Drosophila melanogaster: one gene and its partner. The protein of the gene in region 1 interacts with the protein of each later gene in a pairwise test. Each region holds a gene or a part of one and is shown on either strand. Other genes may lie near its edges.

Region 1 (12,757 bases):
AGCAGTTGCGTTTTGTTGGCAAGGCATTCAACATTACGTTGCGGACCCTCACATCCGCGGCATCTGTCTGTGTGTGCTTTTCTGTGTTTGGATGAGTTTGCAATGAAATCTCGCTTGAAGCTGTATACTAGCTGCCCCGTCCCTGACCGTTCACCGCCTGAATCCAAGCGAGACGGCGGCGTAGGCTCCACCGGAAGTGCCCCACCGTCTCCTATGAGCACTTCACACATGCACCCTCAACATCAAAGTCGAGGACCATTAGCTTTGTTTCCTCCGTTCCGTTGCGGGAACCGACGGCACAAATGAGTTTAGTGTCGTTTGCTCTGAAAAGTTTTTAGATATAGTTAATTACATTTATAATGAGCGGATTTATATCGTCTTGGACTTACCTAATCCGCCACACAACGCCGCCGGATCCACCAGAGTCCAGAGCCACAAGATTACGTATAAAGTCGCCCGTCTTAACGTCCCACAATTTCACGGTGCCATCGTCGGAACTGGTCACCACAAATCGGGAGTTAAATTGCAGGCAGGTGACCGCAGAATGATGCTTATTTGGACCTAAAGGGGATTTAAGGAGTACCAGATTAGTAGTGGATCTTTTACAGCATGTTAGTGAAAAGTAAACACGGAGGATTCAAACTTACCCGACAGCGTTTGCAGACATTGTCCGGTTGTGATGTCCCACACCTTGACTGTCGAGTCGGCGTTGCCCGAGACAAGAATGTTTTGACGCAGTTCCATGCCAGAGGTCAAACTCTGATGACCCATCAGGGTGTGCTTGCAATTGCCCGTCTCCACGTCCCACACGCGAATAGAGGTGTCCAATGAACCCGATACCACATGCAGGCCATCAAACTGTGTGAAATTTAGAATGGTTTACGGCAAAGTCCGACAAAGAAGTGTTGACTATCTTACCTGCAGCGAGTAGACGCGATTTGTGTGGCCCTGCAGTGTGTGCAGGCACTCCTGGCGCTCCGGATGCCAGATCTTCACCATATAATCATACGCTCCGGACACAATCAGCTTCCCATCGTACTGCACACAACGCACAGCAGCCAAGTGACCAACCAAAACGTGCAGACAGGAGCCTTGTTCAATGTCCCAAACCCTCAAGGTTGCGTCTCGCGAGCCACTGACCACTCTGTTGAGAAATTCGTCAACAATCAGCATTGGTTAGTGGATAGTTGTGTGTGGTTTTAACTTACTTGCTGCCATGCAAATGCATACACCGCACAGTGGACGTATGCCCCTGAAGTGTGTGCACACATGCGCCGCTGTCCATGTCCCAGACTTTGAGCGTGCGATCCGTGCTGCCTGAAATGATGATATTTCCGGACATTTGGGAAGACCAAACACCACCGGTGTGACCAACCAAAGTGCGCAGGCACTACAGTTGTTGAGAAAGATATCTCGTTAGCAGGGAAACATTAAATGATTGCTTGTTCGATTTACTCACCTTTCCGTTCACCGCTGACCATACTTTAAGTGTATTGTCATCGGAGCCGGACACAATGCGATTGCCAGAGAACTGCAGGCACGTAATCACATGATCGTCGTGGCCCTTGAGTACCTTGGGCTTGCGCACAGGTCGCGACCGCCAGTTCATTTCGATGATGTGCTGACGCATGTAGGCGGCCTTCCAGGGCGAAGCAATTGGCGGCATGTTGCCATCGCGTCCCCGTTTCGGGCGATCACTACGCGGCTCGGCGAGGATCTGGGCTTTGCGGCACTTCTCCTTCCACAACAGATTGTCGTCGCACAGGAAGCGCCAGCTGCGGCAGGTCTGCGCTGCCCTCAGCAAGTCTTTGGGCTCCAAGTACGAGAGCACAAAGAGGGCTAGCTCTCTTGGCAGCAGGGAGATGAAGTCCCGCTGGAACTGCGGCTCAATCACCTTCATCATGTGCCGCACCTGAGACGGATCGCAGTGATCGATGAGACGGTCCAGGGCCAGCAATCGCTCGACATGGGACCATCGTTGGAATTGTGCCAACCAGTGCTGCAGCTCTGGTGGCGGATTGTCACGAGACGGCACGGAACGTGGGGTGCGACGACCCAAAGCCGATCCCGGCGTGGAGCTAGTCAGATGCGATGAGGGCGTCACCGATAGCACTGCCGTGGGTCCCAAATGTTGCGAGGAGCGCGGCGTAGATGCAAAATCATAGGCAATCCGCTTGCGGCAATTATCGCTCACACCTGAACCCGGTCCGCCCACTTCGCCGCTGGAAGATATAGTCACCGAGTAGTCGCCGCCATCCAGCAGACGTCCCTCGTTGAACTTTCGTTTGCGCTGATGAGACATTAGCGAGCTGGGATTGGTCAGCGAGTATTCGGTGAAGCCAGCTGAGGCAGAGGACAGCGACAAGGAAATGGGCTCATCGGGATCCATGGCGTCCATGTCGAAAGTCTCGCTGAGACTGGCATTGCTTCCGCCGTAGCTGCTTCCGTTACCGTTCTGGCATGTGCAAATCTCCTCCAGATCGGAACAGTTGTTCTCCTCATCGCAGTTGGCCCAAGGTTCCTCGGCACTAAAGTCGCCGGGCTCCACCACGCCGCCGTCCCCTCCGCCAGCTCCCTCTTCCACCACCACTTCCAGGTGGACAACATCGCTGGAACCGTTTCGCCGTTGCCGAACAGATGCTGTCGGGTTTGCCCCAACCGACCCCGCTCCACTAGCAGCTGGAGGATTGCTGCGAGTCAGGAAACGCTCCTGGGTTTGGGCGCTGGCATTAACCTGGCGAGCTGCCTTTGTCGTCGATGTAGTGGCATACTGGCAACGGTTGGACGCTCCGGCTCCGGACGAGGTAGAAGCCGATGTCGAGGCCTGAGAGTCACCCAAGCAGGCCGATCCGGTGGAGCAGGCAGCTGTTGGATTGATGGCAGTGGTGCGACTGCAACCACTTTCCTGAGAGGTCTGCGATCCCACCGAGCTATACGAGACGGATGCACTCACATTCTCCTCCTGATCCTGTTGACAGCTTCCCCCGGATGTGGACGAACCAGACGTGGTTGGAGCCAGACTGGGGTAATCATTCGAGTTGGTGTTTGTGTAAACGTCCGTTCGGGCAGCTCCAGTGCAACTGGTCGATGACTCCATGGATTTTGAAGTGGAACTGGAACCACTCCGGTGCTGGCTGCAGCTGGAGGCGCCCAACGAGGATCCCAGATTTAATTTGGCAGTGGACTTGCTTAGCCGGCTATTCGTGTACTTGCGACTGCTCGTTGGAGTCGTGGACAGATCCTTGTAGGTGTACTTGCTGTCCGATGAGACGGTCCGCCCATTGCTGCTGCTGGGCCAGTCGTCACTGTTGGCCGTACCCGATCCATTGGCCGCCTTGCTTCCCCCCGCCATGGACTTGATCAGACTTAGATTCAGTTTGTTCTGGCTCACCATGGAGCTGGTACGCAGGATTATGCCGCCCGTGAGACGCTGCTCCGTCTCAAAGTCGCGACGCTCGATCAGATCCATGGACTCAATGTCTGCCCTCGACAAGGCAGAGCTGGAGGTTGAGCTGGAGTTGGAAGTGGAGGCCTCCTCTGGGGCGGCGGCGTTGGCAGAGGCTGCTGGCGAGGGATTCGAAACGGTGTTGGCCGTGAGGCTCATCTGCTTCAGGCGCACTGACATAAGACGGTCATGTAGTGAGAAGCAAGTAGCCCCATCGTCGCCTTCAGATGGATTGTCGTCCACGGGATTAACCGGCTCAGACTTAATACATCTTCCCAAAGCCAGGTTCTCTGCTTGGTCTTCCTCACCCAGCAAGAACTCATCGCTCAATCTTTTTGGCTTGCCTGTGAGCTCCGACTGGGATCCCGTTGTGACTACCTGACCGGGATGCGGCTGGGCCTCCTCCACGACGGGCGTCTCCAGGAAGATCTTAGATCCATCGGCCGCCATGATGGTGCCGTCGGCTAAAGCCAACTGTGATGTGTTGGGGCAGCTGATGGCGCCCGTTACAATGTCCACTGCGTCCTCGTCCTCGTCTTCAATCAGTTCCTCCTCATCGTCCTCCTCCGGCTCGGGTTCCTCATCATCGTCATCGTCGTTTATAAGGCATACAACCGGAGGATCTTCATTATCCTCATTAAAAAAGCCCTGACGACTGTGTTCCGATGAGGCGGGGTGACCTAAGTCAGGATGACCACCGTTCAAGGTATCCGTGGAGGAGCTGTCGTCGACGGCCACCACTCCCACTGTGGACGCCGCCCCCGCACTGGTGGGCAGTGAGTTGGAAGAGCTAATCTCAAATGTGCTGGACTCGTCGTCCAAAACTACGGCGAAACCATGTTGTGAGTTTGACGACACACACACGTCCTCCACATCCTCCCGCAGCGTTGACATAGATACAAAGGCTTCTCTGCCGGCTCCTACTTCTGCGTCTACTGCTCCTAATCCCGATTCTTCTGATGCTTCTGTTTTTCGGCTGGTTGAGGCCTGACTCTTGACCCACGTGGAGGTGGAGCTGGTGACTGCTGACTGAGTACGCTCCCCTGCACTGGTCACGGATTCACTGCTAGCAGCTGGGCATCCTCTTTCCATAATACTTTACAGGCATTCAAAAGTGGGTAATGCGTTCTCCTGCAAATGTTAAAGATTGGTTATCGAATGGTTGGAAGCTGGTAACACGAGGAAGCACTTATGGAAAAGTGAATAATAGTGTTGAAAATAGACGCTATGAAAATTTCAAACCCAAGGTATGACAAATTTTACACCGCTTACAATGAACGATCCTTTTGTGCCCTGAGAATCCAAGATGATCCGAAATTCCCACGCAACAAGCGCAAACTGATGGTTGCAAAAAAAAATTAAATCCAAGGGAATGAAAAGCAGTGGGAAAAATTTGTTGTAACGACGCTGCCTCTGCCGGCGTCGTTGGAACTCGAAAAAGGAAATCACAAAAGTGCATCGAGGAAGAGGCTAAAACGGCGCGAAGTAGAATGGGCAAAAGAAGACGAAACGGGTATTACAACAAAAACACCACAAACAGACACACACACATACCCTAAAAAGAGAGACAACAGCAAAAGGTATTGTAAAGAGAGTGAAGAGCGAGAAGTAACGGACGTGAGAAGAAGAAGCACCAAAGATACACAGCAGCCGCAGCACCAAACAAGAACAACAATAACAACAACACCACGTACACCTTGCAATTCAAGCCGCTATCTTTTCCCTCCGCTTTTTACTGACTTTCAGAGATGATCAACGCGGGAAAGTCACTGGTGATCGGGAAACAGTCACCGAACTAATAGGAAAAGCCTTCCAAATAATTTTTATACTAAAGAAGTGTATGACCATATTCAAATAGTTTCGACACCCAACTAAAGTTAAAATGTACATTAGTAAATCGTTTTAATAAACTGCGTTGGTTGTTACTAATAGAACTGTGAAATCTATAGTCACGAAACATTTCTTGCTGACTAGAGCTGAGCCAAGCCCAAGCTAAGATTACTTCTGCCAATATGCTGAGTCACAGAGTTGTTGACTTTCCAAAATACATACGTATTAGTCATCCATTTTAAAAAGTTACATTAAAACGTGAGTTTTTTACATGGGCTATATAAAATCGCAAACATTTAGTCGAAACCGAAATTCCAAATAACAAGATATTAGTCATTCTGTAAAACAAATTATTTGTGCAAACTGACTTTCTTTTCCTGGAGAACGGAAAGAAATCATTAATTATTAGGGCTAAGATGTTTGTAAATTGTATGATAGTAGTCCCTATTCTCTAGAAATTCATTGATCCTAGCCAGCTTCCATTCACCGTGACTGAAAAATCGCAGCTGCGCATCTCTGATGTTTGACAGCAGCTTGACTGGCCATCACATCCTACCAGCGCACAGACACACACACGCACCCGAGAGAGTAGAAAAAGGGATCGCCGTAGGCAGAGATTGGAAGATCCAGGGGAGGGGACAAGAAAACCAAGGAGAAGGAGAAGAAGCAAAGATCAGCCATTGCAGCGCAGCATCCGCAGAACAAAAGGGGCGAGATCACAAAGGAATTTTCAGCGCTCCTGCTGTTGCATCACTGCCGAAACAGATCAGATGTGCAGGCATTTCTCCCGAACATTTTCCCATATTCGTATTCATTCTCTTCCCACCCTCCTTCTACTGCTTCTCCTCCTCCTCCTCCTTCCCCACCCCTGGCTCGTGGCCTTTGGCTGTTGACCTCCCGAAAAAACGTAAAATATGTTTTTAGGGTCTCCGCTTTCACACCGCATTTCGATACGCGTTTTTACCTGTGCCACACAGGACACTTTGGTCGAACATCGGGGATGCGCTCGAGAACATTTTCTCTCTGTGGATTTAGCCACGGGTGTGGAGTCGTCATAATCGCTGCATACACACAGACGCACACCAACGCGGATAATGGGCAGAGACCTGTGGTCCCAAATCCCCCAAAAATAGATTACTTTCGTTGCAAATTCAGAGCAGCGATTGCAGCACGCTGAGCGTTCCTTACGGACTCTTTGACCATCCTAACCCCACTTTTCTGCACCTGCAAATGCAGCGGTTGGAACACGGAGGGGATAGCCCCATAATTCGTGGAGCAAACAACAAAAGAAAAATGTGGACATTGTTGTACACACAGGCAGAGTCACGCACACAGACGAACCCACTCGCTCGCTCGCTCGCAGCTAAAGTTTGAGTTCGCGTGGTGCCTTGCACATTGTTTATAAACTTTAAGGGCAGCCAACGTGGAGGGGGCACTAAAAAAACACACCCCACTTTAGCGGGCACAATTTGTTTTCAGGTTTTCAACTGCACATTTAACGCGTGTAAAACTTTTTGCGTTTGGGGCCCACTCTCACACATACAGGCGCAACACAGCACACACACGTTCAATCGAATTTTTCACATACGTTTTAAGGACGTTGCTCCTCGGAGATTGCCTAATTTTTGCGTTTTTCAGATGACTCTGTACCCAGTCTATCTAAATTTCTGGTTTTCAGATACTAGAATATGCGTGCAATTTGCGGATTTGGACAGATTTTGGACCCGAAAAAAAACTAATGCGGATCCAGTGTGACCACCGCTCGACCGTTCAAATATACCATGGGAATTCACGGCTTAAGTTAGGGATGTGATGGTCTCCGCGTGACTCGAGCTTGGTTTTAAAAAATGTGATACTCTGCAAGTTGTTTATATGTATGGATTTCATGAATTATTTATGTGTTGTAATAATAAACGTGTTTCTTACACAATTTAATTGCTCAGCAATTCTACTTTTCTTTTTTGATTGCTTATATTTTATATTATATTTTTGATTGCTTAATTACTAAAATTATTATATGTTTAAAAAACTTGTTTCTATTTTCATAGTTTTTAATTTTTATACTTATATTTTATAACTTATAGAAATTTCTTGAAAACCCTAAAAATGACATGAGTTTGTTATTTATTGCTATGTTATAAAATAATTAGAAACCATTACAGCAAATATCGTTAATTTGTTTACTAGTGATAGAGTGTGGTAACACTAGCATTTCCGTCCACACAATGTTAAGGTCACACTCAGAAGCTGCAAATTTCGAATTTCGACGGTCGCTATGAGTGGAGCTCTCGGAGATGTGGTGTCCGAATACCTGGAGCGCGGCCCAGTGCTCGTGGTGGCGGACCTCCTTAGCCTGATAACGGTCTCGTCCTGCCTGGTGATCAAGGTTCCGCAGATAAACACGATACGGGCGAACGAGTCCTCGAAAGGTGAGCACCGCCCACACAACATCTGCAACCTATCCTCCCACTCATATGATACGGATTTATGAATTAGGCATCAGTGTTTTGGGACTGTGCCTGGAGCTGTTCAGTTATACGGTGATGTTGTCGTACAACTACACCAGTGGCTACGACTTCCTCTCGTACATGGAGTATCCTGTTTTGCTGCTGCAGGAGTACGCCCTGATTTACTACGCCTTCAAGTACCAGGATCTGCTGGGAAGGAGGACGCAAGTGGTGGCCATACTGTATAGTATAGTGGCCACTCTCATATACATGAAGCTCTTTCCCATTATCATCCTTAAGTTCCTGGTGGTGAGTAAGCCTGTATTGATATCACCTAGTGACTGATTAGTCGGGTATTCTTGCCCAGATAACGACTTCGGCGCAGTTCAAACCCGTTCCCCGCTCTCTTTTCCAATTAACTAATTATGTTTCCGGGCAAACGGGTTTGGTTTGATTTGTTATTTGTTTTAGTTTGAAAAGGCGGTGCTCTTAACTGGGCAGCATCTTCGCTCAAGGTCACCGATGTTTGTTGTATAATATTTGAGCGGCTATTAATACTTTCAGTGCTCGGGCAATATATATAAATCTCGTGAAATTCATCTAAATGTTTGATTTCCCGTCAGCCTTTCTGCACTCCCATTGGAGCCACGAGTAAGGTCCTCCAGCTGCTGGCTATTCTGAGGACCAAGGATGCCAGTTCCGTCAGTAGAACCACATGGGCGCTCTCCGCCTTTACAAACATGAGTGAGATCACATCTTGCATTCCATCACTTGATGTCATCAATTAACACATCATATATGTATCCCTTACAGCTCGAATCTACACGGTGTTCTTCCAGTCCCACGATTGGATGTTGCTATCAAACTTCCTGATTTCGACGTTCCTTAGCGCCTCCGTTTTCACCGCCGCTTGCGTCTACAAGAAGAAGGCCAAGGCGGAGTAATTGGCCAGCCTGATTAGAAAAGCTCAACATAGACAAACACTGCGCTGGCTGGAAATGCTTATCAGTCATTGTTTTAATTCTATTTGCTTATCTGTTTAAATTGATATTACAAATTCTTGTTTGAATCGGTTGTTGTTACTCGTTTAACTGTCCGCGTAGAAAGCCACCACAATTGCACCCACAACTGTTAGAATGGATACTGCATAGATTGCTCTACGTTGCCAATCGATCTTGGTCTTGGCCGGTCCAGAACCCACAGTTTTGCGCTCCTTGTGCTTGCGTTTGCCGAACTTGGCCTCGAACTTCTCGAGTTCCAGGCGGTTTCTTTCTTCCTCGTCGCGACGCTTTTGTTCCAGCTGCAGTTGCTCTGCCGCCTGGACGCGAATTTGCTCCGCCTTGCAGTTCGAGTCGCAATCCAAGAATGTCTGACCAGCACGGTGTTTGTCACAGGCAATCTCCTGCTTGAGTCGCTTGCAGGCGCAGAAAATGCGAACCTTCTTGCGGCACAACTCGGGATTTGGGCACTTGCCTGTGTGGCAGATGGCTGTGCAGCGATGTCCGCAAGGATACTGAAAAAATATATATATCACTGTAAGGCTTGATCGACAATGGTATATTACAGCACTTACATTCTTCAAGCATCGATTACCGCAGCTCCGTAGCTTTTCTCTTCGCTCGATGATCTCCTGGACCGATCCCGTTTCATCATAATACTCGTTGCACTTGTAAACCAACTGGTTGAGTCCACAGTGACACTTGGTCTTAATCACAAAGTTGCAGGGCGCACAGGGCGGTGGATGACATCCTTTGGGACAGGCGTGAATACATCCGGTTGGTCGGGGAACGGTGCAACCCTCCTCGCAGTTGGCACAGCCAGTTTGCGCAGACATATCCTGGGGAAGCGGTACGAAATGGCAAACCAATGAACACTTGTGATTGCCGCACTTAAGCTGACGTGCACACGATCGCTGACAGGAAGTGGGTTTGGAGTTCCAGCATGGCCAAGTGGCAACCTCATGACCTCCGATACAGGTGACAATGACGCCTTCCTCGCACCGTGGATGTGGTAATGCCTTATACTCATACTGTAAAACAAATTGTAGAGTTTTAATGTTGAGATAGGTGAGTTTTGTGATTATAGTTACCTTTTTGGCCTGTGGCCTAGCCTCTTTGGGTTTATTAACTCTAACTGCCTCGTGGCATCGTGCCTTACAGATGTGCCCACACTTGCTGGTGTCATTGGGTAGACCGCACACTTGGCCACATGGAGGACAGTCACCCTTGTGACAACGATGCTTAATGGCATGGTGACATTTGGGAGTTATGCTGCAAGAAGTGAGATTAAAAGTCGGTCATTATATATTGCGAAAGAAATACGAACCGACAGAGTTCCAAGCAGACAATGCGTGCACTTCTTTCCCTGCCACAAGGAACACTTTTTTTGGTCTTTCCACAGCGGCAGTTAATCTGGGATTCCAGTTTACACGGATAGCAAGGTCCGTTGTGGCACACGGACTGACATTTGTGCTTGTTGCAGCTCAGCTGCTTGCCACAAATCTTTTCGCACGGTGGACACTGGTCCCCACAGCACTTTAAAAAAGGTTATTGGTTAATTCGGCTGTATACATTTAAAATGCTTGCGTGCTCTTATACCTTTCTATTGCATGCATGCTTGCCGCAATCACGCATTTGCTTGCATTTAGTCTCGCATGCAAACTCTTTGGAGCAGGGCAACTCCTTTTCGTGCAGACCACAACGACACTTCTTTTTGGTTCTTATTGGGCACTGTAAGAAACATATTTCATTAGAGAATCGATTTGCTTCCCTGGTGGCTATCTTACGGAAATGCAAGGTCCACGATGACAACGCTGGGTGCAAGTGTGCTGGCCACAGGACAAAAGTTTTTGGCACGTATCGCCACAGGTTTCCTCTGTCTCATTACAGGGTCTTACCTGGGTCTACAGAATTAGGTAATCATAAATGAATATAAACTTGTAAATAAATATATCACATACATTCTTGCCGCATGGGCAACTCCTGACTTGCAAAGGACACTCTCCATCTCCGCAGGGTCCAGCGTGACACACCTTCTCGCAAATGTGCAAACCACAAGCAAATGGAGCTCCACAAACCTGAAAGAATATTAATGTTGTTTTATGCTTCAGCTTCAAAAGGCTTTTCTTACATTCTGACACTTCCATTTCCGATCGGAGCAGTTGACCATCTTCGACTCCCGCTGGCACTCGCAAGGTTGTAAGCTTTTGCTGGTGCATGGAGGACACTTTCCTGGCTGATGACACACCTGATTACATTTGTGCTTGCCGCAGGCTAGAAGTTCCTTGCACTGGAAAATCATTTTTTTAGTATGGTGGTCAGACAAAATTTCTTAAAACGTTAAGACTTACAGTCTGCTGACACGTCCACTGCTTGTCAATGCACCTCACGGACCTAGGACTAGATTTACCACACAGGCACGAGACCTGCGCCTGCTGCGCACAAGGAGGACATGGCCCCGGATGACATAGCAGCTTGCAATCGTGCCCACACTTCGGTTGCAAAAGCTTTCCGCAGTGCTCTCCGCATGAGTGGGGCACAAGGAAGGGCTGGTTCTCGGGGTTCACCTCCTTGCCGCAGAAGCAGTTGTACTGCGTGGGCTTATCGGCCGGTTGGTAGTCCCTGCGGCACTTGGGGCAGCACCAGTGAAGGGATTTCTGTCGCTTGGGCGGCACAAATTCGCCCAGATGATTGTAGTGGCCCTGGCCGTTCTGCTGCTCTGCCGCCTTTACCTTCATCTGCATCATGCTGTCGTTGGCCCACCGTTGGATGCACTTCAAGTGAAAGAAGCAGTAACAGCTCTCGCAAGACCAAATGGCCTCCACCCGCCGAATGCTTCCGATGCAAATGAGACAGGTTGCCGCTCCCGAGTGTAGAGTGTTTTCCAGAAACGTACTGGTGCGTGCCGCTTCCTTTGAGCTTCCTGCGTTGTCCGACGGTTTGTAGTTCTTGTATAGGAGTTCTGAAAAGATAAAGCACAAAATTTGATGGTTTTCAAATGACACGTCACAAGCATCGGTCGATTTACCCAAAATGTGATTCTCATCCAGTTCGCCTTCATCCTCGGAGCTGGAGGCGTAGGTGTCCACCAGTTTTTGGGCGGCAGCCAAATTTTTAGCTTGCGCTTTATTAAACTTTTCCATTTTTAAGCCGGCGTTTTTGTCTATCAACTGGGAATAAATTCCTGGGGTAGAACCAGGGATGGCTCGTTCTCTGATAACAGCAATTAGGGGATCTAGTTCCGAAAGGTACACATTTGTGTGAGCTTTCAGTTTCCAATTGGGAATTTCATTTAATTCAAAAAAAATACATACATACACATTAATACCTAAATTATCAAACATCCTCTCTGCATATTTTATTGCATTTAATAATTTGGACCAACATTTTGAAGTTTACAATTAATAGGTCAGGTATCTAATGTGGCAGCCCTGGTATTCGATGTTAAACATCTGTTCGTGAGTGCGACACCCTGGAACAGCTTTCACATCATTTGCAACAAAATAAAATAGAGAAAATTAAATATATCCAGACATACCGACTACGATCCGATCCAAGATGAGTTTCCTAAATTACGTGTTTGGCCCCAACCTCTACATGGAATACCGCGGTGTGCCGGAGCCGCAGCGCAAGATGTACGAGGCAGGTGCCGTGGAAAAGTTCGGGGAGCAGATTCTATCGACGGTAAGTGCCCTGCGATCCCATGGGGCAGAATCTGGAGCATATGGTAATGTGGAAAATCGACACTCTCCGTTGCAGCTATCGGTTATGTGGTCCGTGGGCTATTATACTTCTCCGCTGCTCGTCACATTCCTATACCGACGCGGCTACCTGGTGACCGATTCCATACCGACGCTGGCCAAGATCACCACCAGCGTGGGCCTCATCGTCATCCTATCGCTGGTGATGCGCGGCCTGGGGCGCAAGCAATCGCGCTCCTACTCCAACATGATTAAGGCCCTCGTCCGAGCAAAGTCCTCCAAGGCACCAGGAGATGCCAACAGCGAGCTGCGTCGCTTCGACATCGAGTTCAACGC
Region 2 (11,833 bases), on another chromosome or scaffold:
AGACTAGGACAAAGGCAAACGTCCTGCACCCATACATACACACTCTCTCACAGGATTGGATGACTTGCAATAATCCTCAATCCGCAAACCATATGTTCCGGCATTTTGCCAATATATTCGCTCCGTTGAAAATGGCCCTAATTTAGTTTTTATTCCTACGGCTTCGCGTTTGAAAGAGAGAGAGAGAGACCGAGAAAGAGGGGGCTTGTAACTGATGTCGTCGACAGCCATCCCTCTCGCTCGCACTTATTCCAAGCCCTTTTAGCCCATGCACACACACGTTTAACAAAAATCAATTAACTTGAAAGCACATGTAAAAAAAAGTATTGATCCACAAAAAACAAAAGGCACTTCGGTAATCCTGGAATACACACACTTACTGCCGAAAATATTTAAAATGAATGGGTACGCGTATATATTTATATGCTGGTGAACAAAAGGCGAGCATAACAAAAATGTCTTATCGATTTGCATGCGCAGCAGACAGTAATTGCAAATCTTGTATTTTCTTGAGTCTGTGCAACAACTGAAATACCTTTCTGGGCATAAACTATCATAAACACAAGTGGGTGGTGCTGGGAAACATCGCTGGAATTGAATATTTGTTTGTTGGTCGATTTGTTCTGAATGGAAACGAATGTCGTTTGCAAATTGCTCTCTCAGCTGTTTACAAACGCATACCACATAACGCAGGTGAGAGAGAGAGGGAGGCATATGCGCAGTGAGAATGGAAGATGAAGGGTTGCCAAGTGCGCAAAGGCTTGCAAATTAAGTACACTTGTGTGCGGGGTAACCGAAAAACGGGTGTTTACAATAAATTTCGCTGGGTGGATGTAGCTTTGTAATTTGAGTTCGCCAATTTTTTTTGTTGTTAACAGCATTTCGAAGCGGTTGCCAACCCTAGACGCTGGCTGGTTGCATGGTAACGAAAAATGGCGGCGCCTGTTACACACACTCACACACACATGCACGCACAGTCTGCTGTGTTTATGCACTTCATGCTGTTCCGATTTTTTTTTTGCACTTTTTCGATTTGTTGTCTGCATTTACCTTAAATGAATTTATTAACTAAGGCGATATTGTGCCTCTCGCTCAATCTCGCAAAACGATGCTTTGTCTGCTGCTTCTCTGTGCGTGTGTCCGTCTCTTTCCACGGCTTTTCGTCGAGACTCACATATACAAACGGCGACACACTGGATTGGAGCTGGACTCCGTTTTGGATGGCTTGGCTTTGGCTGCGTACCCAAAATAAATCGCGCTTGCAGTCCCAAATCATTTTAGTTCTTGACGCCTTTGTTCCACAAAAACTTCCAACCGCCGTCCATGGCTCGTGCTTTCTCTTTCGCTCGCGAGACGCTCCAAAAGTCGCGAGTATGGGAAGAGAATGTATCCCTCGCTCTTTCACGCCTAGAAGCGGCTGTAGCACACACAAGCACACGTAAACCCAGCCGTATGCATATACATATATTCCCTCTACTAGCGAGACGTGTGTACGTGCGTATGTATGTATGCTTTTTTCACTTCTTTCTCCTCTGCGTTCTTTGCACCAAGTGTCGCTGTTGCTATTTGCTACCGCCGCTCCTCTTGACGAATAAGTCGGGACTTGTATCAGCTCTAATTCGGACTTAGTTTACAAAATGCGGCTGCTTTTTTTCCGCGATACTCGGATTAGTGATGTAAAAAGACGTTGATGCTTCGACCACTGAAGTCAGTGCGATATGTATCGATAATTGAATGCCATCGATTGCTACGATTAAAACTGCCACCGCAGTTAGCGGAGACGCTCACCATTCTCTATTCGCCATTTGAAAGTATCGGTGTAATTTGTTTTCAGAGAAATTAATTTCCGTTTACTGTGCAATTCGGTGTGAAAGTGTTCAGATTTATCAATGCGTATTCTGCTTTCGACTTCGCCACCAATCTGTGCTGCAAGTTACCATTACCAGGTCCACCTGGTTCCCGCCAGTTTTCTTTCATTGTGGCTAGTTGTTGTTCGTGCCTTCGATAAAGACGTTTAGAGGTGTTTTTAGAGTTTCGCCATCTGGTCACTATAGCCGTTTCGTTTTTTACGTGAGTATTGTGAATTTGGTGTGTTGATTTATATCTCAGTTGGAGCCTGCGTGGAAATAGTGTCAGTACGTTTAAAGGCATCATCGTAAGGTTAGTCGGAAAACAAATAAAAAGCCTACAAATAGCAAGCAAGAACGCTTTCGCAACCACAAGAAAAACGAACATACGCACGCATCCATCTGTGGTAGAGTCGGCTTGTGTGGGGGTGAGTGGATGTGTGGGTGAGCATTTCTGGAAAGTGCCGTTCTCTATGTTTCGATTCTACTTATCCCTTCATCACCATTTCATCGTTGAATCATCACGAAAGAAACATCGAAAGTGCACAATCGTTTGTTATCTTTGTACGAAAACAACGGTGATTTCCACACAGGCATAACCTGCAAGAGTAATACGATACAAATTTTGATCTGATATGACCTCATTTTAGTCGGTTTGAATTTTAAAGAGAGCGACTCTGCAAACTGCAGGGATATGAACATACAAAATTCACAAATGATTGTTTGCATCCTAGTTGCTTATATTCATTTACACGCATGCTTATATGCTTACATCTGTTATCAATAATTGACGACTTGGTGCATGCGAAGCAAACGCATTGAAATGACTATTGGGATCCACACACTGTTAAAAAACACACTGATTGCACTGCCACACATTTCTCAACTAGAACCTAATGTTTTATACTGAACTTAACTGCAGGAAAGCCCAAAATGCCCAGCATCAAGTTGCAATCTTCGGATGAGGAGATCTTTGACACGGATATCCAGATCGCCAAGTGCTCCGGCACTATCAAGACCATGCTGGAGGACTGCGGCATGGAGGACGATGAGAATGCCATTGTGCCGTTGCCCAATGTGAATTCGACGATTCTTCGCAAGGTGCTTACCTGGGCTCACTACCACAAGGACGACCCCCAGCCAACGGAGGATGATGAGAGCAAGGAGAAGCGCACAGACGACATTATCTCATGGGATGCAGATTTCCTAAAAGTCGACCAGGGCACACTGTTTGAGCTGATATTGGCAGCGAACTATCTGGACATTAAGGGCCTTCTGGAGCTCACCTGCAAGACTGTTGCAAACATGATTAAGGGAAAGACTCCCGAGGAAATACGCAAGACCTTCAACATTAAGAAGGACTTTTCGCCCGCCGAGGAGGAGCAGGTGCGCAAGGAGAACGAGTGGTGCGAGGAGAAGTAAAGCGCGGCATTTCGCGGGACCAACATTAAGTTGAAACAGCTAGGGGATTCGGGAACGAATTGGATTTGCAGCATTGCAACTTTACTTAGTTGCTACTTTCATTTACATTTTTTTTTATTTTTAACCCCAGCAGAGACTCGATTTAAATTGTGTATAAATGATCTGTTGCTGATTTGATTCGCGGGGTTCATTTTTTGTCGTAAATATATCTCATATACATACATATGCGAGATTGTAACACTCTCTTTAACCTATTGGAGTAACACTTGATTTCACTTTAATAAATATAACTACCCAACACAAAGACACAGCCTATTTTGTGGGCTTCCCGGAGGGGTTAGGGTCCAAGGACTTCTCAAATTAAGAAGTGCTCTTTATTCGTTATCTTGTGTTTAGAAACGTTTGCAAGCGTTTGAAATGGATACGCATGCCATTTATGGTCCAGTCGGTAAAATTTTACGTGTTCCCAAGAAGGTACATATATATCTTAGATTATCTTATCTATAGAAACTACATTCATAAGATCACGCTTTCGGCGAATAGCGAGTAATACTGTAGCTGCCACTTTGCCACTTAGTGTGCAATTGAAATGCGCGCCAACGCATGTTCTCATATGCGGAGCGTTTAGCAGCCCTTAAAAAGCTTTTCATGTTGCTTTTAAAAAGCTACGACGGGTGTGGAAATTAGATTTGTGACGCTTTATATATCTTTTTTTTATATCGTCTGGGGTACAGCATGGTTTTAGGATTTTAGAAGAAAGCAGTAATTTTGTAAGAATCGAAGAACGGGGGGATATTTATAATTTTCATATTAACCTTGTCTTTGTTTGCTTTTGAAATTATGAATACTTCGAAAGATAATTATCTTGTGCGCATTCCATTCTGGCTTAGACTGGGTTGAGCTAAAAATGATTTGAAATACAAATTTTTAGGTGTCCGCTGATATATAAACAGTATGATGTTTTTGCACTTTTTTCCCTGAAGTTTTCCTTGTTGTCTCGCTTGCCAATGCTGAACAAAGTAGCCAAAGGACCTTTACTTGAAGCTTTGAGAGCGGAAAATATATTCGGGGACAATTGCTTTAAGTGTGCACTAGGCTTGGCTAGATGCCCGTGCCAAACTTTCTTTGGAATTGATCGCTGGCCTTAGCCAAAAGTGGAAAAAAGAAAGGATAGGATAGTGCCGCACGTATTAAGGGTCTTCTTACAAAAGGTAACTGATATTAATTCATTTGCATACTAAGCAAGCTAACTCATCTGTTTATTGCAAACAAGCGCCAATTGAAGTTTTATCGAAGCTCAGGGCAGCGCCAATTGCCTCGTGAGTTATGGTAGCTCAGCGCGTCAAGGGGCGTGGCTATTGTCCTCGTCTTGGGGCCAGGGGGCTCTCCATTTCAATTACCACGGGGAGAAAGGGGGCTGTGTTCTTGAGTCAAAGACTGAGGTGAAAGGCAGGCAACGCAAAGAAAAGAAAAGAAAGCACGGCGGAGCCAAAAAATTGTAAAGCGGCCTGAGCAGAGGAGCGGAAAAGAAGAAAGGACCTTCCACTCCCCCAGCCAACTTGGCAGTGCCAAGGAGTAATTAGTGTGCATTTCCTTGGACCCACCGACTCACCCCCCCCCCACCCACCCTATCCCCTTGCTGCGTGTGTTTGTGCAACATTTGCTTTTCCACTTCGTTTGCGACAATCAAATGTAACAAAGGAGCGAAAAAAGGTTGCACAAAAAAGTGGGAAAACAAAGCTGAGATGGGGAAGTGCAAGGAAGAGGAAAGATCGGAGGCAGAAATACACTGGGAAAAAAAGAGAAACATTTCCCAATTGAACAGGGGCACACGGAATGCAACACCTCAGGTCCCCCAAGCAAAACGATATAGCATCAAACCAATCACCATGTGTAGCCTCTGAAAGTATGCTATAAATGATTGAGTAATTGAAAATGTATTTGCCTACAGTGCATCTGCCGGCACAACTGCCATGTGCCATCGCCACTCCACACTCACCTGGCTGCGCCCTCTTATCGTCTAAGTCGTCGTCCTCCGCCGGAACGTGACATTGAATACGTCTGCATCCTGGTGGCTGCTTCCGCTCCTTCAGCAGCTGCTGGCCCCTCTCCCAGCTCGCTCGGGCGATTTCTTCCACTCCTCATCTCCTGGCCAGGCCAGGCCAATGCTAATCTCTCTGTAATTAAGACTGTCACTCATTCAGGCAGTCAGGCAGTTGCTTTCCGCTCAGTTTGCCCATCTTGGGAAGTTTCCAGGTCCTGCTCTTTTTCGTCCTTGCTTCAGTGGCGTGGGCGAATGAATGGGAGGCACATTTGAATTGCCTTTAATTGCATGTTGTTTTTCCCACTCCCAGTTTGATTGTAGTGCATCCAACGCATCCCGTACATCCCTAATGGAATAGTCTCCTCGCTTCGAGACAATTTTTTAGGGGCATAATGTAAGCGGGGTGATAAAAGGCTTGGATTTCATGCTCAGGATCAACTCGTCAGGGGATCACAGGGGTTGAAATTGGCTGGTCTAAATGCGATTTCTATTCACTTCCACTTGACTTACGAGTTGGCTAAGTTTTTCACAGGGATGCAACAGTCAGTTGATGGGGGTAACAAAGGGCCAAGCCGGGTAGTTAGGATTGCATAGAGAGCTCGCTTCTTCTAAATATTACAATGGCAAGGGGAAAAGCCTACACCATAGTCATTAAAGTCGTACAGCACAGCTTCAATTTTATTTGGATAGAATTTCTTTAATTTATATCGATACTAATAAGAAATCTTTATCTTTTATAGTGCAAGTGACACACATTGTTCCACCAATTAAGAGCGACGCCCGTTTAGCAGCCCAACTAGTGTCACCCAGTAAATTTACGATAAACAGATTTTCGCTGCCCGAGCTTCCCGGGATTCGTTCTATTTGTGATGACTCGAGCAAACTTTGGATCTGCCGGAGACTTCAACTTGGACTCCACTACTCGACTCTATTAATACCAGAGTGCTGGATTTCCCCTCCCGGCAGAAACCCGAGATTTATGGCTTCCACTGGGAATGCGTGGGATGTTATCGTAGGACTTGGACTGCGGCCCACATATCGGCGGAGATGGGGCTCTCGGGTGGAGATTCTGCTGAAACGTTTTGTTTATTATCGGAACGACGTTGTTGGCCAACTGTTTGCCTCGGCTTCTAATTCATTTGCGTAGTAACGATGATGGTGCATCGCTCGGGACACGAGGTCGACTAAAAGATTCGATCCCAACCGACTTGTTGGGCTTTGGAATATTTGAATAATTCATGGAGGAATCATTAGTTGCTCATGATTGGCACTGGATCGTATTTTTTGTAGGCTAGAGCACAGCCATCGCTGGGAATCACGTCCCACTGAAGTACTTCTCACTCCCACCTCCAAACTCTTTAGTTTGTAATTCTATTTATATGCACTCGCTCCAGAGTATCCCTATGTACTCGGATCTTGGGTAAGCATGTACTTCTTTTGGTGCAGATGGGGCTGCACACTTTTATTGTTATTGTTGCCGCTTCTGCAGTTTTGGAATCTTCATTGGCACTTGAACATGAAATGGAAATGTTCATGGCGTATCATGATTCTGTATCCATTCTCGCCCCATGCTCCTCCGAAATCTTCGCCTTGCCTTTCGAAAATTTTATTTACTCCGCCGGCCAATGACTTGCGAAAGAATTTCCTAGTGTTATTTCGGACACCATCTGCTGCCAGTTCTTGTAGGTAAGATAAACAGTGCATTTTCAAACATAAGGCTAACATCTTTGTCGTTTTGAGATGGAAAAAGTGAAATACTGAAGCTAATCGTAGAGTACCGAAAAGAGCGATCGATAGTTCGTCATTCCCCGATAATTATACTCATTCTCTTGCAGAGCAATTGGAAGCTTTTGTCCACTGCCGTGTGGCCCAGCAGATGGTGATTCCATGTGGAACACTCATAAACAGAGCGCGCTGCACACGGTTTGTGGCGTCATAAACTACTCTGTTTCATTGCAGCGCTTTTCGGCGAAAAGATTTCACAAAGTCACAAAACATTGGGGAAATTTACAGAAGAAAATGTACAATAAGCTGTCAGGCTATGAAGTATCCGAGTCCACAGTCTACATTTTGTATTTCTATCTGCATACTATCTCCATGGGCATGTTTACTTGGGTGTGATATATAATATCCGTTTCACTGAATATTGTGCTGCAATTAGCAGCAGAGTTCAGCTGACAGCTGTTGCAACGAATTCTCAATCGAGTAATAGCAGAATAGCAGAATCGAATCGGGGCTCTGAATTGGAGGAAGGGCTATACTGGGTTTAAGGGGGGGTCACTGACTATTTATGCAGGCAATGTGTGTGGACCAAGATGAAACGGAACCGGCAAAGCGTCCATGCAAATTCTTGAAATCATACACTCAAAAACACACTTGCACCGGAAAGGGTGTAAAACGGGCAAGGGAATACCAGTTGTGGACGAAATTTACATAAGAGTACAGACTAAGAAAAGATGACTATCCAGTTTCCAATGGTGAACACTGGCTTCGATAGTGCGTCAAGTAGGGCGTGCCGTAGGCAGGGAATACTCATGACGAGGTTTCAAGTGGAAAATGTAAAAAATGTAGTTTCGGAACTTCCTCACTATGTGCCATCATTTGTGGGATCACACATCCCATCTCTGGACTCCACGGCACGGAGTATTGCCCTGCCCTGTCAAATTTGGCAGCAGCTGTTCGGACCTGCTCGAGCAATTACATCTCCAGTGCCCACCACCTCCAGTGCGGTCCTATCACTTAAGCAATTGCAGCTAAGGATTGGATTGACTGGCCAAGAGAGCTTCGGTTGGTTGTGCAATGTATGTATATAAGGGCGGCCAAGGAGTCGGGTGGCTCTGCAAACGTTTGCCTTAGATAAATACTATGCCATCTGCTGCCTGAACGACGCAGGAAGGGAAGGTTCCACAGGCAGCAACAGAAGCGGGAGCAGGAGCAGGAGCAGGAGCAGGAGCTTCGAAAGATGCGGGCATCCAGAAGGTCGCATAAAAGTGTGGCATAAAATATGAATTAAAAACCAGTAGGAAAGGGTGGTAAATGCCGCGGGGGTCCGAGGGTGCAGGATGATGGACAAGCCGGAAAACCGGCAGGAAACTTCATGACCGTTCGAGTTCCTGCCCGGCTTGCATAGACAAAAGTAAAAAGTGATAAGCGGCTTAGGACTCGGCTAATGAGTCGTTACCCTATCCTCTCGTTTCTATTTAGGCCGACAATCTAATGCTGGGACTGCGTGCATATTGTATCTGCCAGTTTCGTTCCCCACCCTGCAAATAGACGTGAGTTATGCGAACTTTTTGACAGCAACTCGGATATTTTGAGCCTTCGCCCAACCCCATGCCCATGGAGAAACCCAACCGCAACTCTTACCACAAAGTATTCAAAATTAGCACGCAGCCCTGGCAAGGCACACACAAAGTTACTTGGCCGGGTGCAAAAACCATAAAAGTGAAATTGATGTCGGAACAGCCAGCTGAAAGGAGAGGGGACAGCAAGAGCAGGAGTAGGAGCAGGAGCAGGAGCAATTTCGACGGGGTGGCCGGATTATGACACGTTGCTGGTGCATAAATTAATGGCAGACTCTTCGGTTGGCACTGGGCTGTCACCTCACGGCAACCTCAAGTCATCTGGCGAGTGTCGAGATTTTCTGCGGTTTCGGGTAGATGATGGGATGTGGGTGGGATTAAGGGATGTGGAGCCATGCCCTCGATTCCCGGCCACATGGGTGCTCAACAATTCATTATCTGCTAAGAGCTATTAGCGAATCTCGTGCGATTCTGCCTCAAGGATCCTCATCCGGCTAGTTTATAAAGCTCGACTCAATCACCTGCGTACAAAATATAGAGATTTGGGCAAGCGTAATCAGTACATCGAAAAAAAAGGAAGTTTCGAGCTTAACCATCTATATCAATAACATATACAGCAGCAATAGGTCAGATTTATCCACATACAGTCGTCGTACAGTCATGAGCTTAAATGTTCCGATGGCAACTCGAGTGCTGCGTTGCTCCTGGGATGGAATTTGTGTCGATATCAATTTATAACACAATTCATCAGATATCAAGAGCCTTGAATCGAGTGCAATTTCTGCTAAATTGAAATAAGTTTGAGACATTCCCATCGATGCAATTACCCAAACTGAGTGGAAATGGTCAACGGTCGATGGAGTACACAGATAAAAAAAAACAAGTGTGGATGTGTTAAAATCGAATAATATCAAATAGATAGTTGAATAGATAGTTCATTCGTCTTGTCCGTTCGTCTGTCCGTCCGTAAGGAAGTCCAGATCTTTAACGAATAAAATAGGTTCGCAAGCGCTGCTCCTTTACTTATCATTTTTGACATGTTTTTCTCTGTGTATTATTGGCAGTGGGACATAGGCGGAACGCTGGGGGCTGCCTGCCAGAGTTATGCAATCCAAAGTCATTCGTTTGCCTGGCACTAAAAAAAGAGCTGCATGGCTCCAGGCAGCCTCCCGCCTCCTTGCTCCTTTTCCCTCATAAACCCAGCAGCCACCTTGGCTCACTCACCTGCCTTTTGCCGTGTGTTCGCTTGTTTGCTAAATGAACAATTTATTTTATTTTTTCGCTCGGCATTTCGATGTTTGCCGCTCGACACTCCTGCAAGGATATCCTGCTGCTCCATAAAGGACAACACCAAGGAAAGCTCCTTTCACCTCGCTATTTCCCCAGTTTTCTCTTTTTGCTCTGAAGTGGAAGTGGCAGTGAAGTGCGATAGTTTAGCATTTGTTTGCCTTGCTTTTGTTGCAAATGAGTGCGCTAGATTTCACTCGCATTTTATTTGCAAACAATTTTCAATGTTTTTCCACTGCGTCCCCCGCTTTTCCATTTTCCTCTTGAGATATGACACAGCGCCAGTTTTCCATTTTCCGAAAAGCAGCGAAAGTTGTCAACTCTGGCCATCGGACCGGAAATGTCCTGAACCCAATTAAAAAATCTGTGAATGTAGTCAGCAGGGATCTGCATCTCCGAAGGCTCTTCCTGCGGCGTTGCTAAGGTAATAATTTCGTCGAAATGAACCATTTAGATGCGGAATAAAATTAAAAATCCCTTTTTAACTCGCTTGCAGTATCCTTTATCAAGCTGCAGTATCATGAGCCAAACTGAAATACGCTGGTGTTAAGTTCATATTTACATAAAGGAAAATAATATGTTCAAAAACTTTCTGTTGACGTACATATGCATTCAAGATCCAGAGGCAACAATTTAATTTAATTCAGCTGGATTTCCGATCTACTTTAAAGGCATTTAATCCAGGGCGTGGCACAATGGAAAATCTCCTCCGATTTGGCCAGCATACAAAGCCAATTACGACGGCCTCCCGATGGGCCGGCCGCCCATTTTTGGCGCTGGGCGTGGCAGCGGCCACAATTAGAGCAAGTGCATCGGTAGTTCCTGGGAGCGAGACCACTTCTTCACCACCAGCTGACTGGAGCTGGAGTTCCGAACAGTTCGTCAACGAGTTTGCGTGTCGTCACGCCTCGTCTGCATTTTGATGACTGGCCGTAAAATAAAAGGGCAGGTCATGGAGTGGGAAAGGACCTATTTTATGTCGAAAGACCGCATATCCTGGTTGAATAGGAAATGTACTGCTATCTATAATTGGAAAATATTAAGTAAACAGAATTTCCAGCAGCTTCGGCAATCGATGGAAAATTAATTTACCCACTCGAGGGGTACAAAGAAGATTACATCGGGTAAGGGAAGCTCATAAAAAAAAGAAGAGAGAATGCTACAATCGCGTTCTCCGGCTATTAGATATCCGTTACTTAGCTAGTGTGAATGCGAATGCGAAATTTCATCATTTTTCTGGGATATCGATAGATATTGGGAAATAAAATGATAAACAATTTAAATGATGGTTTAGGGCGCTAGAGTAGGCGTGGCAACATGGGTCAACAATTTTGCGCTGTGTCTTTGTCTCTAGAATACGTATTCTAGCCTTCTAGCTTTTATAGTTCCTGAGATCTCAACGTTCATACCGACAGACGGACATTTCCATATCGTCTCGGCTATTGATCCTGATCGAGAATATATATACTTTATATAATCGGAAACGCATCCTTCTGCCTAATTGGACTCCACGAGTTACGGGTATAATCACTCATACGAACTGAGGCCCTGTTTGAATTGATCGCTCGCTCAGTATGCCATTTCAAATAGTTGTAATTGAGGGGGTTCTGTGCGCCATGTGGCAAATCCCAAAATATATTCTATGTCAATCCCTAGCTGGCTTACACCCGGCCATCCCGTCGCCCACTTTTCCGGGGGAGCGACTTAGCCTTGGCTCAGCTTTCCACTTAACCTTTTTCGCTTGGCTAAGGCCATGGCTCGGGCTTGGCTTTGGTTTTTGGCTTGTCTCGGCCTTGTCCTCTTGTCATCCGCGCGCTGTCGTCGTTTCCTTCTACTTGTTGCCCCCTGTCACACCACCGACTTCGCAGATTATCGCCCCAACATGGGGCGTCACTGAAAGAAAAACTACTTTAGAACAAATACTCCTTTAA

What was found.
Region 2: the proteins of ago (region 1) and SkpA interact in a two-hybrid assay, tested with the Drosophila melanogaster proteins (2 studies listed by BioGRID).

The regions. Positions count from the first base shown.
Region 1 is NT_037436.4:4,247,265-4,260,021, forward strand, and holds the start of ago (archipelago), read right to left. Parts: upstream 7,043-12,757; 5' UTR 6,864-7,042; intron 6,789-6,863; exon of another isoform or gene 6,725-6,788; intron 5,814-6,724; exon of another isoform or gene 5,763-5,813; intron 4,788-5,762; exon of another isoform or gene 4,718-4,787; intron 4,577-4,717; 5' UTR 4,538-4,576; coding exon 1,460-4,537; intron 1,391-1,459; coding exon 1,209-1,390; intron 1,145-1,208; coding exon 919-1,144; intron 859-918; coding exon 648-858; intron 562-647; coding exon 390-561; intron 324-389; coding exon 212-323; 3' UTR 1-211. Other genes in the region: CG1265 (uncharacterized protein), read left to right, coding at 7,551-7,704, 7,772-8,031, 8,346-8,466, 8,536-8,666; CG15011 (uncharacterized protein), read right to left, coding at 8,810-9,235, 9,296-9,751, 9,812-9,992, 10,048-10,256, 10,320-10,451, 10,508-10,624, 10,682-10,798, 10,852-11,010 and 2 more; CG1309 (uncharacterized protein), read left to right, coding at 12,279-12,404, 12,480-12,757. UniProt on the Drosophila melanogaster protein: Substrate recognition component of a SCF (SKP1-CUL1-F-box protein) E3 ubiquitin-protein ligase complex which mediates the ubiquitination and subsequent proteasomal degradation of target proteins. Probably recognizes and binds to phosphorylated target proteins.
Region 2 is NC_004354.4:654,330-666,162, forward strand, and holds SkpA (SKP1-related A), read left to right. Parts: upstream 1-1,784; 5' UTR 1,785-2,455; exon of another isoform or gene 2,456-2,769; 5' UTR 2,770-2,780; coding exon 2,781-3,269; 3' UTR 3,270-3,570; downstream 3,571-11,833.